Linked DNA regions of Coturnix japonica. The protein of the gene in region 2 interacts with the protein of the main gene of each other region in a biochemical or structural test. Links are inferred from orthologs where the notes say so. Each region holds a gene or a part of one and is shown on either strand. Other genes may lie near its edges.

Region 1 (5,683 bases), on a different chromosome or scaffold from region 2:
ATAAGGAGAAACAATCACCAGAGCTTTTCTATTGTGTCAAATTAAAAACAGCTAAAGAGGCACACACAGCAGGAAAAAAAAAGCCCCAAAATTGCTCCTTTAAGCTAAACAGATCCATGTGTGCCTTCACATTATGTGTGCAACCAGCACTAGTCTGCACAGTTAAACACATTCTCTGCATTCTGTACAGGAATACATTCACAGTCTGTCTCAAGGGTGGAGAAAACTGTACAAGCTACAGTAAGACATCTCCAGGACAAGAGCAGAAACCCATATATATGACATGTACATGGATATAAAGCATTATCAGTAAAACTGGGAAACACTGCGTAGTGTTACATTGCTTACTAGCTTAATCAAATACCATCACGCAACTAAGCCAGTTCTACCTGGCAGCAGGTTTTGAATGTTTGTATACACACACACTGAAGTGCACACCAAGAATTAGAGCCTCACAAGAATGAAAGCAGATCATTTGAGGTCAGCCATAGTCTCCTTCATGGCACGTGTGTTCAGAGAGCTTTACAACAGCAATTCCACAGCCAGTAGAGTGCTCTAGAAAGCAGCTCCCACATCAGTGCCACAGCCAACGCTCTCACAGCAGCCACCCATACACTGAGAGTTCACTGCTGTGGTACACAGCTCCTTCCTGAGGTCAGCAGGACATTTGTGTTAATACAAAAAAGCCAGCTCTGTGTTTTGGAGGCACTCCAAAGAAATAAAATCAGAAGGGGGTGGGCCTGTCACCTGTATAAAAATCAAGGAAGATGCGTCAAGTTACACTGTAAGACACTGAGAACTCAGACTATTCTTTTTTAATACCTCCCCTACTTTGTACACTATCTTTGAAAGCACTACGGATGCTAGGAGAGATTTTACTCCAGAACTCACTTCCATAGATCCGAATTCTTCATTCCATTTTTAACACAATGGATCCTACACGTGAGAACAGAAGTTCAGTCACAGCCTCGTGTTTATCATCCTGCATTTTGTCCCAGAAACTGAAGGTCTAAGTTAATGTATTTAAATAGCTAACACAGCCGAAGCACTACAAGGCAATATATACACACAGTTAGTTTCTTTTCTCTCTCAGTGCTTTTCCCCTCAAGACACACATTCATAAGCATGCTCACTAGAGTCTAAAAACCCTCCTGGGTGCCACATGGAAGAAATCCAAGTTGCAAATCTGTGGCAGAGAGACAGTAATGCATGATGCAATGACATACACTCTTCAAAACACACAAGCAAGTTACACAATGGCTTCCTGTTCCTGATTATTTAGGTTGTATAGCACCCAGCAATTTGCACACTCATATCCCTGCATTACACAAGGGGTTCTGAGTAATGTGAGTTACCACACATCTGTTATAGGGACAGGCATATGAAGTGGACAGTTACTATGAAGCTATGGATGCCAGAAAACTCTCATAAATTATTATGTTCTAATGAAAAAAGCTGTCTCTCTATCTCTCACACAACAAACATCTATGTTTTAAATTTCCTTAAACAAAATAAATAAATAAATAAATAATCAGATAACCTTCCACTTTAAGGATAATAAATACACAGCTCTGTTTGCCTTGTAGGTACAGGGCAGCAACAAGAGTATCCACATAATAAGCCTGAGACCTTTGCAGCACAGGGTTTCTATTAAGAATAACAAGCAATTTTGGAGTTAACAAGAGGACTCTCTGTGCTAGATCTTGAGGGGATGGACTAGAGTGTTGGTGACCAGTATGGCAGCATTGCCAGTTACTACTCAGCTTGGAGAAGCTCCAGCGTAGCAGAGCTGTGCCAATCAGGGTAGCAACCTGGGAGCCAGCCAAGAGGTCGAGCAGGCCTCCAATAGCTTGAATGCAAATGGTTTTAGTTGTGGTAGATCTTTTGTAAGCAGTGGAAGGGGCATGCTGGCCTCAGAAAGAAGTTAAATCCTGTTTCCAAACTGCGAGCGTCTGTGCACCATCTGGGTCCTGCAGAGCAAGGCAGCTGCGTTCCTTTTTGCAGGAGCTTTGTCACACCTCCTCAGAAGGGAATGCAAAGAGGCTTTCGGAGGCTCCCTGAGCAGGCAAATACCAAAACACCATCACATTGTAAATCTGTTTCTCCTACATGACTTGCAGAGGGCACAGTCCCCTTTTAGGTGTTCAATGTCTTTTAGGTCTTCTAACTTTTGACACCAAGTACTGTTACAAAGTGTTCTTGTTCTTCAGACCTGAAGCTCCCCAGTAATCCCCCTCATCCACATAACTGGAAAGAATGCACTAGAGGGGCTAACAGATGCATCATTCCTTGAATTCCCATCTGCATGCAGAACCCAGCCAAATCCTTTTGTTCAACTTGCTGAGAGGAACCGGATCAAAAGTCATCAAGGTTCTTTTTGTTTTACACAACAAATTCAAAAGTGTAGAAATGAAAGAACTGCAGTTAATTTCATAACTATACCCACATTTTGTAACCTACAAACACAGACACTGTGTAGAAAAAGAGATAAAGAAGGTGATGTTACATGGTAGATGACTATCAAAGATCTCCATCTATCAGCTCCAAAGGACTTAATTTCTCAAGTAGGTTTTACTAACCATAAGATAAGCAGCTACCTTGCCTACACTGATACACAGTGAGACTTGAAAGATACAGAGAGAAAAAGAAAACTTCAATTTTTATGAAAAAGATCACCATTCAATCACCTGTAGCCTCTATAGCTGTATCTTTTACAAGGTAAGACCACTGCACAGTTCTTGACACAAAGACAAATCCATGCAAACCACACATCACTGCCTCTGAAATAAGACACAGTTAAGGTTATGCAGTTATCACAAGATGACCACAGTCCCAGGAACAGACTGTCCCTATGACACACTGCCAGCTGATCTAGGAACACTGACAACATTATCACGTAACCACCAGGCTTGCCAAGAAATTAAGTCATAGAGCAGTTTTCGCAGGTTAAAAAAAAAACTATATGATACTATATTTCCATAGAATCTAACCTATACTGAGTAGATCTGGATAGAGATTTCTTCACTGAGGGAGAAAGGAAGGAAAGCGAACAGCAGAAGACTGGATTTTGGCAGTAAAATTTAAGGAAAACAGCTGGCTAGAAAATACCAATACACGTGGGCAAGAAGTTGCCAAAGATCAAGTTATTAAGTACTGCCCAAAAAGCATTCATAACAAGCTTGCTAGGCATGGTTGTGTTTATTTTCACCCCCCAATTAGAGCGTTCCTCAAAATAGTTTTCCATTACCAACACTACTGCAATAGCAAGTTATAGATAAAGCACACAGGCTGACTTCTACCCCTTTCTTAACTCCACATTGTCTTGAAGAAGACAGATTTACAAAGAGACAAAAAGAAAGCACTCTGGTTGCTATGCAGCAGAACAATCTCACCACCATGTAGCAAAAAACCACAGTCCCACTGTCTGAGTAAGAGAAAGACCAACTACGTTGTACATCTTGGAGGCAATCACCACATTTCCATTTGCAATACAGAGGAAGTACCAAGTACCATCCTTAGCAGAACAGAATGGAAGTTCTGCATGTTGTACAACCAGTCCTCTGCTCGCCAATGCCACCTCACACAGCTCCATTTGAAAAGTGAAACTTGCACTGTATTAAAAATACTCCTAGGGCCCATACTTTTAGGAAGCCTTATAATCACAGCAAGTGACTGAATAACCTCTAAACTAAATGTTTTGGCAGAGCAGGCTATAATTCAGCTCTGGTGGGCTGTGTGCAGATGTCTCTCTTCCCACACAAGGGGCCACTTACCAAGTGCTCTGGCCACAGCCAGGAAGGGAATCTGGTCGATGACGGTGCTGCGGCGCACAGGGCCATTGTGAGTCAGGCGAGGTCTCTTCCAGACAACACGATTCACACCAGACTTGTTGATGACACTAAAAATCGTCAGAAAGGAGCAGGCGTTATAAAAAGCAATGGAAATGAAAGCTTGTTTCAATGACTTAAGATTAAATATGCAAATACAGACTCAATAACGACAGCATCTTCAGAGAGGTGCACAGCACAATGAAGCATTTCAGAACACCTGGTATCACTTGGATAGCCTCATTCCACATTAAGCTAAATGCAAAAGCAAGAGATGAAGGGCAGAAGAAAAAGCAAGAGGACGAAGACTTGGAAGAAATTAAGGCTGGCTGCAACAGCCAGATGTAAGAGTATCTTTTCAATCTATCAGCAAAAAAGCAAAAGACAAATTGCTTTCCTTAGATGAGGCCCATCAACATCAACTTGAGTGAAAATATCATGTTGTTTCTCCTTTAGTTTTCTCCATCTGCCAAAGTCTGGCAGTAAAGAGCAGCACAGTACAGTTGGGAAGAGCAGAAAAATAAGAGCAGCCTTCTGGAGGAATTTCCTTATTGGTGCACCAACATGAGGGAGAAATAAAAAGAGGAATTGTTCATAGCTGCTATCTGCTGAAAGCACGACATAGGAAGAAACAGCCCTGCCTTTAAGCATTAACACCTGCTCCTGCTCTGTGCACCAAACAATCGTTTTGGCTCTCACAAATGGCATTAAAAGGGTCAAAAGAGAAGCTACTATGCAAGAGAACACACTATAACGAGGCAGGAAGAAGTAGGAAAGAGAGAAGGGAGAGCATGAGGTACCAAGCAAGGTAATGAAAGAATGAACAAGCAAAGCTTGGTCCCAATCAAACTAAGAACTAGATGCTTAAAAGCTAGCTTTCATCCAAGGAACAGCCATCGGTAATTAGAAACTGAGGCGCTCTGGAACCAGCCTCAAGATTCCTCATACTGAAGCTATTCAAGATGCACTTCCTGAGACTTCAAAGGCCTTAACAACAAAGGCACGTTTAGCTCCATCCTTCTGCATGAAAGTGCAGCAAGCACCACAGCCTAAAATTCATCTCATCCATTTGTACAACTATTAGTTACACAATGTTAACTCCAGCCTTCATCTGGAAGATTTCAGCCCGTATTCCAGGACTGTTACTTTGAAAATACTGTTTTTAATATACAATTCAATCATGCCCTCACATTAACTTATCCCAGTTTTCTCTAACAAAAGAGAAGACAGTAATAAACACAGAGGCAGTCCCACCACACTCCCACTGTTGGCTACACAACAGCCTGCACTGGTTTTACCAGCCAGTCCAGAAGAACAAAACAGAAGAAGCAGGAGCAGAAAAAGTTGCTAAAACAGTTTAACTGCTCCTGCTGATAGACAGTCTCAGAACGCTTCTCCAAAGCCTCAGTTTCAAACACTGACATGAACAACCTGGAAACCCATACATTTACAAACTCTAACTTAGCAAAGCTGCAAGTTGCCCTTTCTGAGAAGTTCCCACCCCAAATACAGATATCTGATCAGCTTCCACCTGCTAGCGATACAGATATCTGAAGGTTAACGAGCTGACAGGGTTCTTGTGTGAATGATGTCAACAGGAAAACCTCCAGTGCTTTCTCCCTCTGAACTGCTAAGAGAAGGAAACTCTGCCCATCCATCTGGTGCAGTACTGTGGAACGAAAGAACAGCGAGCTCCTGTGAAGCCATGCCAAATCCGAGCCCTGAGGTTTGTCTCAAAACATTAGTGCCATCTGACAAGGCTGCCTGCCTTCTTCCCCATTTACAGGGAACATCCATCAACCACAACTCAGATGTTCTAACATCTGCTGGCTCCTGACAATGAAGAAAGTACTAAT
Region 2 (6,457 bases):
AAGCTCCTTCCTCAGATCCAAGCATCTGTTAGTGCTTTACAGAAGAATACATGGCTCATAGTCTGAGGTGTTCAACCCAAACACGATCCAACCCACTGCAAAGCTGCTGTTTATGATCTGCTACTGAGAACATTAACTTAAGTCTGCGGTTGCTGTTTCTTAATATCAATAATCTCAGTGTAAGGTTTAAGAACATCAGATCCCTATTAGTCCTCATGCACAGACACGGGCAGTCCATCTCAAGGCAGTGTGACACTGATGTGATTTATCTTAATCAGGTTATCTTAAGTGATAATGAGGTTTATTAGAAAGCTTTGTTTCCTAGAATAGTAGTAATAAAGCAGTTATTGGTGTTTGAGTTGCGTGTTTTGTGCTTCGTGTCTTAATACTTCAAACTGTCCAACAGGGCTTTAAATCTTCTGCTCATTTCTGAAGGAAATTTCTGAAGGATGTTTCCTGGCCCATTGAAATCAACATGTCCAAAAGCACAAAGGAGCAGCAAGGACTGATGATGATGATAATAGTAAGAAAACAAAATCAAAATCATTTCACTTTTAAAGATGTTTCCAAGGCAGCTGGGTAGGATGCTCAGCAGAGCTGGCTGAGCTTTCCCTTTGATCTCCAATGTTGTGCCCAGTGCTTTTCCTCAACAGAAAGGAAACTCTATGGACGTTAGTGGTAAAAACTCATAACTGCACACTGTGAGCACCTCTCTGATAGTTTCCACACCCAGAACTCCATGAGGATGGTAACCTCAGGCACGTGATGCAGCTTTTCCTGGCTGCTTTGTTTTCCTTCTCTGAGAGTTAAAGCTTGTACCAGAGGTGTAAGAGGCAAACACCACTTGTCTGTGTTTGGTGCAAGTCAACAGTTTAATAAAAGTTACATTAATTCTTAATAGTAAATGAGATGCTATCAGGAAGGGATCTTCTTGTTCTTTAGTTTGTCCTCCAGGTTTGCAAAGTACTTCATTTTGGCAAGAAGCTTCTTAGCTTCCTGAAGGTCATCTACAAAGAAATTAAAACAAAGAGGATTATTTAAGAGGAGGGCACAACTGTCATTTTCAAGGTGAATCTGAAGGTTTCCTTGCCAGCAGCTATTTAATAAAACAATTACCTCTTTCAAAAGCTGCAGTCACCTCTTTGGTCAGTTCTTCTTGTCTGTCTGTAAAACAAATTATCTTATTCAGCTTTTGCTTCATATTTGTATCTAATACAGCCGTGCTCAGTCTGTGGTGTGGTCTTTTGGAAGATAAGAGCTCCTTGTGTTAGCACTGCCAGCCTTTTTCCTTATCCTTCCAGCAGTGTTTCTTTATTGACACAGCTCTACAGCCAGCAGTACCTATATATATACACACACACACACACACACACCAGTGGCTGCTCACTTCCCAGCAGCTCAACTTGCTTTGATCTCCAGCACTGCACCCAGGGTTCTTCCTCAATATAAACCCCACACGTTTCAGTAGACAATACAGGGATGTAAAATTCACTCGGTACAAAACCCGCAGACCGAGGCCCACCTTTAATTAACGTTTCTATCTCCCCGAGGATCTCGTCGTTCTGAGGCTCTGCTAATTTCTCATTGATTTCCATGATTTCCATGAGAAACTCCTTATCCTCATCGCAGTCCGTCTCCTGCGCCGGCTCCACACCGCGCAGCTCCAGCTGGAGGAAAACAAAACAGCTATTTGGAAACGTGAATATGGGCTCTCTGAGTGTGAGCACTGAGCGGCTGCGGGGCCCTAAGATGGGTGTGTGGATCTGCCCATCCCAGCACTCACCAGGTAGAGGCCGCGGCTCAGGGGGTGCAGCAATGTCTGGTAGGCCTTGTTGATGAGGGAAGAGTGCTGCTCCGAGTAGTGCTGCTCCTTCTGCCAAAGAGTAATGAGTCAATAAGCAGCGCACAGAGCGGTGACCCTGCACACACCCATGGTCAGGGGACGGGGCTGTGAGCGCTGATGGAGCTGTGGGTGTCCCTGAGCACTGCAGGCAGTGGGAGCAGATGCCCTCGGGGGTCCCGTACGACTCCCCGGAGCTCAGCGGTCCCGGAGCTCGGAGCCGACACAGCGCGTCTCCCATAGGGCAGCGGTCGGTCACTCGCGGTCGGTCACTCACCGCCGGGCTCTGTCCGAAGCGGTCTGGGTGCAGCGCTCGCTGGAGGCTCCGGAACCGCCGCTGCAGCCGCTGCGTGTCGATGCGGAAGGAGCGATCACTGCGGGCGACACGAGGCGGCGTGAGCAGCTCGGCCCGCTCCGCTCGAGTCCGCCCCGCCGGCACTCACCACTCCATCAGGCGGAACAGGTCGGGACGAGGCTCCGGCGGCTGCAGGGCCCGGCAGCGGGGACAGAAGTGCGGGACCGCATCGAGGCCGGACAGCGCGACGCCGCAGCTCCAGCACCGCGGGGACGGGACGGAGCCGGGTCCGACGCACCGCGGCCGCGGGGCCAACTCGGACACACGCAGCGCCCGCCGCGCCCGGCCCAGCTGCACCCGCAGCGCCGCCTGCATCGCCCGCACTACGGCTCCTCCCGGCACCGCGCCGCCATTGGCCGCTGTATGAGCGCGGCGCCTGCGCTGTGCGGTGCGACGGGCGGGGCGAGCTGTGAGCGTGGAGCCGGAGCGGAGTCAGTGCGGGCGGTGGGTGCTCCCGCCATGTCCAGAGAGACAAGGAGCGATGTGCAGCACTCACAGGGCACGCAGCCATCGCAGGGCGGAACCAGCTCCTCCTCCAGCGCCTCGCAGGGCGCCAGCCAGTCCTCGTCCAGCTCCGGCACGCTCAGCTCTCTGGACACGGTGCCCACGCAGGAGCTGCCCTCCATCCCCGAGGACCCGGAACCCGACGAGCTCGTTCCCCAGCCCTGGGGTCGGCTCTTCGCGCTCGGAAAAGGTTTCAGCAATTGGGGTACGTCACCGCCGGCCCCGCCGCCTGTCCGTGCGCCTCCTGGCTGTGTCGGGCCGGGGATGCACCGTGCCGTTCTATTCTGTTGCCGTTCCATTCCGTGCCGTTCCATTCTGTCCCATCCATTCTGTGCCGTCCATCTGGCCGTTCCATTCTTTGTGCCGTTCCATTCTGTGCCGTTTCCATTCTGTGCGTTCATTCGCGGGATCATTCTGTGCCGTTCCATTCTGTGCCGTTCCATTCTGTGCCGTTCCATTCTGTGCCGTTCTATTCCGTGCCGTTCTATTCCGTGCCGTTCTATTCCTTGCTGTTCCATTCGTGCCCATTCCATTCCTGGTCCCATTCCATTCTGTGCCATTCCATTCTGTCCCGTTCCATTCTGTGCCGTTCCGTTCCGTGCCGTCCCGCTGAGCTCCCGGCTGTTTCTGCTCGGAGTCCGTGTCTTCTCCACTGCCTGTCTGTGTCTGTCCGCCCCGTAGCTTGGTTTGGTTCGGTTTGTTTCTGCATTGTGTGAATATATCGCTGAAGGTGAATGGGAAATGACGCTGTTATTCAATGGAATTGCTGATGTATGTAGTGAAATTACAGGGTCATGGAATGGCTGAGGTTGGAGGGGAGCTCAGGGATCCCCCACCCCTGCCATGTGCTGCTGCACCCAGCTCGGGCTGCCCACCTTCCTCAATGACGTATTGGTAGCATATGGCGTTTCATTGGAATCAGGAGAAGTAAATGCTGATGTCTTTGTTATCATGCTTTACTATAATGTAAGGCATCGTTCTGCAGGGCAGTAGTTAATAACTGCCTCAATGCTGTGTTCTCTCTCCCATGCTCTGCAGACTGTGTCAATGACGAGTACTGGTTCGGAAGAGACAAAAGCTGTGATTACAGTTTTTCTAAGCTCGGATTATCTGAAACTGGGTTTTACCAGAACTACAGCAAGAAGCACTTCCGAATATTCAGGGTAGGTGCTAAAAAGGTTATTTCTTTTTCTGTGTATGGCCATAATTGAGAATGGTGAACCTTTGCTGGGATCTTATTGAACACAAGGTTTGCCATGTCCAGCCCGACTTCTTTAACCAGGCGCTGAGTGATGTTCCCTCTCCATGTTTATGAAGTACTCCATTGAGCCAACACTGCTGTCGTCCTTTTCTTCGCCATTGCTCTCTTTCTGATTTCTTTTTCTTCCCTGTTAGGAAACAGGACCAAAAAACTCCCACGTTGCCTACATTGAAGACCACAGCGCAAATGGAACGTTCATTAACAGAGAGCTCATTGGGAAGGGGAAGAGGCTGCCGCTGACTCATAACTCGGAAATCGCACTATGTATTCAGACTAACAAGGGTAAAATACACCGCGATGCATGTGGGCTCTTTGGGTGTCAACCAGGAGGTTCTGTGTGCTGTGATCTGGATCTTGTTTGGTGAATACCATGTGGCTGCAGTAATAAGAACAGCCCTAAGTTTATCGCTGTGTTTGGCGCAGACCCAAGGTCTCACTTCTCAGTAATGAGATTTCCTGCCTAAAGCATCATTGCAGCATCAGCTGATGGGGTTTTGGTTTCTTCTTCTTGCTTTCCTATTTCCGTGCTGTTTCCAGCAGGCAGCATTTGCTCAGTTGTGTTGTTGACTGTTAACAGCTTGGGAAGTGTTATATAACCATTTTGAAGTAACAGGACGATGCTCTCCACCCATCTCCCAGTGTTTGTCTTTTCTGACCTCACGGTGGATGACCAGCTGGTGTTTCCTAGAGAGCTCCGAGAGAAGTACATCATGTCCAAGACGTTGGGAAGGTAAGAATCCTTCTATCAGAAGCAGCACCTTTCATTTTGTTACTGCTTTCGGTACCTTGTGCTACCTGAGCACACTGTGCTGGGCTTTAATGAAGATGAAACACAAATGAGACGTGGTCTCATTATCTATTACTTGGAATATCCAGAATCATAGGAGGGTTATCAGAGATACTTCAAAGCAATTGGTGGTGATTTCTGAATTAATTGCTCAAGATTTGAAACTATCTTACGACTATGTTTCTATTTACTTTACATGCAAGAATGTTTAAGTACGTTTGTAATTGGTTGAAATTGGGGTCTGACACCATTTGGTGCTTAAATACTATTGAATATTGTCTGAGATAGTTTTGTCCATCTGTTATATTGAGAGAGCTGGAAAGCTGCAGCCTCTGATTGCACGTAGTCTTAATGAGGTGAGAGCCTCCTGTTCACGTCAGCACGCTTCTTAGGCCGAGTTGGGAAGGTATCTGTAAGCATTAACACAGCTGTGCTTTCATGCTAGCGGTGCCTGTGGAGAAGTCAAACTGGCATTTGAGAAGAGCACTTGTAATAAAGTTGCAGTAAAGATCATCAACAAGCGGAAGTTTATGGCCAGTGGTGTTAGAGAGGCAGTAAGTACCTTTGCTTCTGTCTTTTGACCATCTTGCAGCTGTTCTCAGATACGGGCAGCCTTTATCTCTTACTCTCCAGTCCTCTCCGATTAAAGGGGGTTTTCTGACTTAAAGTTTTCTGTGTGTGATTTCTCAATGGCATTTGATATTACAGAGTGTATATAACTGTGTAGCAAATGCTTGCTTTTATTCTTTGACCAAACTCTGTTAGGACTGATGCCTTATATACAAATAAGGGGGAGTGTGGAAATCTCATGGGGTGTCATCTCCTAAAAAACATCAGAAAGTTACATTACAGGGTGGTCTGACCAGAGGCCTATAAGCTCAGCTAATTGTGTTGTATGTTCATCATAAGACTTGGTATGGTACAAAGCCTGCTGGGGAGGGCTTTCCATGTGCCTGCTTTCATAGCTGCTGGAGAAAGAGGAGCCATGGCTGGAACCTAACAGATATTCAAACAACTTCTGATCGATCAGTGCCATTTTATGTAAAGATACAGGATGAACTGTGAAGAAAAAATACAAATAGAGGTTGAAGGTGAATGAGAAAGGAGATACAGATTCTGCAGCTATGGGTTCACTGAAGGTAAAACAGGTTAGACTAACCTTGTTAATTCTGCAGGATTATATGCAAGCTCAGTGAATGCTTCTCTAATTTCCAGTTGTACAGGTTCAGAGGAGGAAAATGCAGATATTTTCAGATCAATCTGTTTATTTTCTCTAGCACAATGAAGAGTAATAGTGAGTAGCATTTAACTTCAGGGGTAGCTCATGTGGGAAACATCTTGAAGAGAGGCAGTTTGAAGGGCAGTGCTGATATCTGCTGGTCAAGATGAATTGTTTAAGTTGGATCTTAATTTCTGAAGTGTCTTATCCTAAAATATTGCTGTGTGACTCCATGTGGTATTTCATTCTTTTCACAGAGCCCAGCTTTTAACATCAACACAGAAATAGAGATTTTGAAGAAAATAGATCATGTGAGTGGCCCTGTACATTTGTATTCATTTTGCTGTGTACTGCTTTGCTGACTTAGCATAATAATGATCGATTTTACCTGTGTAGAGAATGATGCGTATAATTATTGCAGCCTAAATAAGTCTATTGAGCACGTTTCAGATTATTGTATCTTTGCTGATAGGAGGTTTTGAAGTCTTGAA
Region 3 (5,683 bases), on a different chromosome or scaffold from region 2:
TATACATTATTCCTCCAACAAGATGAAAGGCCGCACTAAGCATGAGAATGGAAGTCAAATGAATAACTGCTGCATTCTGACAGCATGTCACGGATCTACATAATTTCTAGCTGAGCCATTGTGCATTTCTGCTGTTTCTACCCAACACCCTTCCCCCCCTCGCAATCAATAAAATAAAAATAAAATAAAAATAAAATAAAAATAAAAATAAAATAAAGCACTTCTGAAATAAGCACCTGGCCATGCTCAGGGTTCCTTGATACACAGCATGTAGGCTACATTTAAAAAGTGATAAGAGCACAGAACAAAGGCCTGGGATTAAATGAAGCTCAGTGTGACAGACCGCCAAACAAAAAGCTTCCCACTTCAGCTGATGTGAGTTCAAATCACTGTTATGTTCCTTCACTTTTAATACACGCTAAGCATTATCTCAAAATTAATGTTTATAAACAAGATCTGCATGATGTTAAAAAGCAAATACATTTACAAATAGCTCCAGATGCTGACACTGTAACGCACACTGCTTCAAACTTCCATTAGTTTAAAATGCAAATACAAAGAAAAGCACTACTCTTAAAAACAGGTGAAAGCTTACCTGTGCGTGAAACAAAGCTAGTCCCTTTGCAGTATGCATGGGAATCAGAACTTTCATAAGGAACTGTTTGTGTTCCGCTTTCAGTGGCAGTGCAAAACCATTGATAATACTGAAAACGTGAATAAGCAGGATTTACTTTTATGAAGAACTCAAAACAAAAACAAGATTTTCTTAGCAAGAAGTAAAGAATTCCTGTACATTCAGAAATGCCATTTCTGATTCTATTTCTAACCCCGGTAATTATGAAGCCATAAAATAACTTCACATATGCACAGCCTCTAAAGGTTTGGTATCGTGGCAGCCAGCTGAGAGAAGCAGAGTGGCAGCCCACTGACACTCAGGAGAGGACTTTCACCATCACCTCCTTCAGGTAAAATTATCTAAAGTAGGTTGCTGCCTAAGGATAAAGCTCATACACATCAGGAAGCTGATCCCTTTCATGCCGAATCACTTAAACACAACTTGCAGAGGAACAAAATAGATGGCATATAATTTAATTATTACAACAGCGCAGTTTGAAAATACGTTTTAAGTTTTCCCCCTAGAAAAAAAGCTTCCAAGTGGTCGTTGATTCAATAACCTTGTTGTGAGAGTCAGCCACAGAACGACAGCCCTTCGGGAAGGCCTTAGGTTTTGTTCCCCAGATTTTAGATAAACCTGAGCAAATGGAATCCCGTTTGCTTGGTTTCCATGATGACCGATCCCTTTCACAATCTGTTAAGCCACTTGTGGTTATAGTTTTCTACCATAAAACACACCTGTGTCAGCTTTGGAAAATTACTAAAAAGACACCATAAACAGCTTCCAAAGTAAGAATTAAATAACTGAATTAGTGACAAAAATAGTAACTGAGATACTTTCAAGGCTTTCATGAACACACTCTGAACAAAGTCAGCCTGCTGAAGTAAAGCATTGTGTTCAACTTGAGAGCTGAAGTTAACATTCATTTTCCAAAGCAAAGAAAAACTCTGATATATTCCTCAACAAGGGAGGACTCCTGAGAAATATTTTGCCTGCCATCTCTAAAACACACACTGAAAAAGAAGGATTTAGACTCGATATCCTAATTAGATGTTCACATGGTAACCCAGACAGGATTCAATTACATCAGTGGCTGCACTTCATCACTCATTACTGTAACAGTCTTCCCATTCCCAAAGCAAGGAAACCAAAGCGAGCATTGCCCACAGTATTTTGTATCTTTTCTGTCAGTTCAAACTTACCTTCCTAATATCTCAAGAAGTTCAGCAACACCATTGAAGTGCTCTGTTTCATATATAAACCTATCACAAAGAAAGACAAAAATGGAAGCAGATTCCAAGTAAATAATCTCTAACAAATTTTAGATATTTGAAAGGCAATCACAGATCCAACCCAGCTCTTTCAGTGCAGTCACAGACTACAAAGGGAAAAGTAGAATATTACTCGACCTGCACAGACATACAGACAGAGCATACCTGAGGAAAATGTTATTGATCTGTTTCCTGATGAATGCTCTTAAGCCAAGGAATTTGCCATAAATTCGATGAAGAACCGTCTTCAGGAAATCACGTTCTCGTGGGTCTTCACTGTCAAAGAGCTCCAATAACTTCAAAAATTAAATTGAAATGTATTACATTAGGAAGACTTACATTTTGTCATGCTCCTAATCGAGCTCAGCTTCATCTTTAACTTACAAAGTCTGCATTAGAAAAAACAGAACTGGTCTGACTTAATATTTTATTTAGATATCCAATGTTATTTTCAAAATCAGATTTTGAATAAAGCTGAGTTTTTAAGTGCACCCAGCAGTTTCACTTCTTTCATATTGAAAAGTCTGCATAGAGCAGACATCAACAAAGCCATTCCAACCATTACCCTGTCAAAATAATGATGAAATTTTAAGAAGGATATTATCAAATTTGGGGTAAGTGGTTTGTACTCAGCCTTCAAGAAATTAGAATGAAGCAAATTTGTGTCATACATTTATGATTTCTTAATTGAAATCTTGTTCTACCCATTTCGATATGCTACTCATGCCTTCAAGGTTAAACACAAGCATAATTCTCTGCAGAATCGTTTTGCGAGACAAGTCTATGATAAGAATCATGCACATTTCCTTGGGGGACAGAGAGGGAGACAGATGTTTAACAGAATGCAAATGCACTAAGAACGAGCTGGGGAGGGGAGGGAAATCACCAAGTACAAGTTTCTTCATTTCTGTCTGGCTCTAATGGCAGCATTTCCCCCAACCTGTTTGGTTTTGTTAAATACATTTTCCTCCCCACAGGAACTTAGCTCCAGCAATCACTACAGCCTCCTGCTTAGTCCAGATCTGCAAGCTCTCCAACACCTACACCAAGCACAGCAGGGACTGGGAAGTGCTGTTTAAGAATTGTGCTCATTTCATTTCCATATTCAGAAGGAATTTCTCAGGGTCACCACTGCACTTTCTCCCCACAGACAGCTTGGTGTATTTTGCACCATCTTTACATGAAACATCAGGAGCTAAAATACTGCAACACAGCTCTGAAGAACTGTACGCCAGTCGGTGACTTGGACACGCACATACCAATGCTCAGCAGCAGATTCAGGTTAGAATTTTGTATGAAAGTTGAACAAAACAGAGAAGAAGGGAACACCTACAAACAAGAACAGCAAACCCAAAGAAGCAAGCATATAAGCAGTCACTGAAGGCAGCAAGTGGAAGCATTCATCTACGTTTTCACTTCTCACTGCTGTACTGTGACAGCCTCTTCACACTCAAGCTTTAAAAAATGAGCATTTGGGCACAGTAAAAATCCCCAGTGAGGTAACCTTGGACAAGAAATGTTAGAGTATCACCCAGCCCAATGTGAGGTGTGACATCCTACTTCATTTTTCTTCATAGTTACTTCGTGCGGTGAATCAACTTTACACTATTTTCTCATGAGCTTTCTCATTTAATTTTCCTTCTGCATATAATACACCACAAGATGAGAATGACACCATCCAGTAATAACTCAGCACATGTTGGAACACATTTCACGTACATTCAGCTACTTATTCATCGGAAAAACAATTTTGCTGTAAGATTTCCCATCGTAAATCTCCACGAAGAAAACAAACATGAAAGCACTACACCAGTGCCATTGGCACGCTGCTGATTTGACTGGAGGTAAGTTACTAATCATTAAAACACAGCTTACATTAACAAAAAATAAAAATCTTGCATTGCAAAGCAAAGATGCTAATACCTGAAAACAAAGCGTTTCTGCAGTTGCTAATTACTAATTATTGTCTGCGCAGCAGACATTGTTTGGCAGAAATCACTGTTGAAACAACTGGAATTGAACCCTCTGTCAGAGTGAAAGCTTTTTAGTATCGCCTCATCTGAACAACCAGCAGTTATGCCTGAGAGGCAATCTTTAACTCTGAGGTAGGAAACCTGGCTACTTACCTGCTGTACAAATTTCTGGTCAATGAATCTCTTTGCAATGCTGGGCTGAAAATCCGGGCTTTCCAAAAATCTTAGGAAAAATTCATACACCAACTGCAAAGAGCAAAGTGAGAATTTTGAACAAGTCAGTAAGTGCACCGTGGTGTGGATCTTATCCCCTACTCGAGTCACTGGGGCTGTTCACGTACTTAACATCTACGCATGAAAACCGTCATGGCCTCTAGTGCAATTTACTGTAAGCACCAAATGCATTTTAATTCCCAGAAGATTCTAAGCTTAATAAATCAATAACCGAAAATACCACTCCACAGCAAAGTAGAAGTATTACACAAATTCACATTTCCTACTGCATTAAGAGTGCATTACGTAGAAATAAGTTACCAAACACTTCTAAACAGAGGGTAAAATTAAGTGTTCTAACAGCATCTAACTCCCTAAAATCAGATTCAGAAAAGTTTGCTCGGTGCTCCTGAAGACAGGCTTCAGATTTAAGCAACTAAAATGGTCACACTGATAAAGCTGAAGAAATACATACAAACTGTAGTGCTTAGCACGGCATTACATATTCTGTATTCTATACTCCAGGCACTCCATTCAAACAGTAAGACCTCCTGCAGATTTACCTTCAATATCCTGTATATTCTGCAGTATATTCTTTCTATTGACTTCAAGTCCCCAGTTCACTATGATCCCATACAGACCACAGACAGAGAGGAGATGGAGGCAGCAAAGGCCTGAAGCAGCAGAGCGAGGCACAAAAATGGCAGAGCACAAGTCCCACACTATTGGATTCAACACAAGTCCAAGACAAACTTGTGTATCCATAACAGTGGCAGGTGGGAGAGAACACATGCAACCTTCCAACTTATAAAACATAGTTCAGGCATCTCATAAGGAAAGATATCTTCAGATTAGCTGCATTCAGGGCCTCATGTTTTCAATGCCTATTTCTCAACTCAGGAATAGTTAAATTGTAAGCAATAATAGTAAAGCACACTTTAAATAAATACAAACATACTGCCTGGACTGCAGAGGTAACAGATAGAGGCACGTATTTCAACAATTTTCACTTAGAAGAGGTACTAAACCACAGCTAATCCATCTCTTTCAAGCTAGAAATTCGATAAATGTGTCAGTGGTTTGTACTGAAATGGGACACATGACCGGAAGGAGGTTAACAGGGTACCATGGGAATTCATGCTGGAATTAAATTTCATTGTGTATTGAATTTGTACAGTTCATCTTTCTATCAACGAACACAACAAGAATAGTTAACTGAAAGCTGCTGGAATGGAGCCACAATATTGGAAGCTATTGCTTGATTTAAAAAAAATAAAATAAAAAAGAACGAACATCAGGTTATCAGTAAGAAAAGGACAAGGTAGATACAGGATGAAACTAAATGACTACAAAGTCAGTCAAAGAGATAAGAAAAAGCTCTACTAAGGAACAGCAAGCTTTGAAGGTGAGAGAAGGATCGGATACTAGTTCTGATTATTAGAATGACAAAGTTTCGCAGCTACACAGCAAAGCCACAGCAATGACAAATGAAATGCTGGGATTTTCCAATAAGATAATGACAAAACACAGAGAGATGTGAAGTACCATACATGCTAGAGAAAACATTCAGACCTGAAAGGATACAGAGGAGCCACAAGAATGGCCATGGG

What was found.
Region 1: of the proteins of CHEK2 (region 2) and PPM1D, one has a biochemical effect on the other in vitro, tested with the Homo sapiens proteins (2 studies listed by BioGRID, with this or other methods). The link is inferred for Coturnix japonica from reciprocal best matches to the Homo sapiens genes CHEK2 and PPM1D.
Region 3: the proteins of CHEK2 (region 2) and PPP2R5A form a complex in vitro, tested with the Homo sapiens proteins (2 studies listed by BioGRID and IntAct, with this or other methods). The link is inferred for Coturnix japonica from reciprocal best matches to the Homo sapiens genes CHEK2 and PPP2R5A.

What each region holds. Positions count from the first base shown.
Region 1 is NC_029534.1:6,711,740-6,717,422, forward strand, and holds part of PPM1D (protein phosphatase 1D), read right to left. Parts: intron 3,899-5,683; coding exon 3,774-3,898; intron 1-3,773. UniProt on the Homo sapiens protein: Involved in the negative regulation of p53 expression. Required for the relief of p53-dependent checkpoint mediated cell cycle arrest.
Region 2 is NC_029530.1:6,771,428-6,777,884, reverse strand, and holds the start of CHEK2 (serine/threonine-protein kinase Chk2), read left to right. Parts: upstream 1-2,548; 5' UTR 2,549-2,558; coding exon 2,559-2,904; intron 2,905-3,737; coding exon 3,738-3,862; intron 3,863-4,094; coding exon 4,095-4,242; intron 4,243-4,599; coding exon 4,600-4,690; intron 4,691-5,192; coding exon 5,193-5,301; intron 5,302-6,223; coding exon 6,224-6,277; intron 6,278-6,457. Other genes in the region: iron-sulfur cluster co-chaperone protein HscB, read right to left, coding at 916-1,007, 1,117-1,164, 1,523-1,667, 1,784-1,873, 2,118-2,214, 2,284-2,510. UniProt on the Homo sapiens protein: Serine/threonine-protein kinase which is required for checkpoint-mediated cell cycle arrest, activation of DNA repair and apoptosis in response to the presence of DNA double-strand breaks.
Region 3 is NC_029518.1:19,370,166-19,375,848, forward strand, and holds part of PPP2R5A (serine/threonine-protein phosphatase 2A 56 kDa regulatory subunit alpha isoform), read right to left. Parts: intron 4,107-5,683; coding exon 4,014-4,106; intron 2,184-4,013; coding exon 2,053-2,183; intron 1,879-2,052; coding exon 1,819-1,878; intron 705-1,818; coding exon 596-704; intron 1-595. UniProt on the Homo sapiens protein: The B regulatory subunit might modulate substrate selectivity and catalytic activity, and might also direct the localization of the catalytic enzyme to a particular subcellular compartment.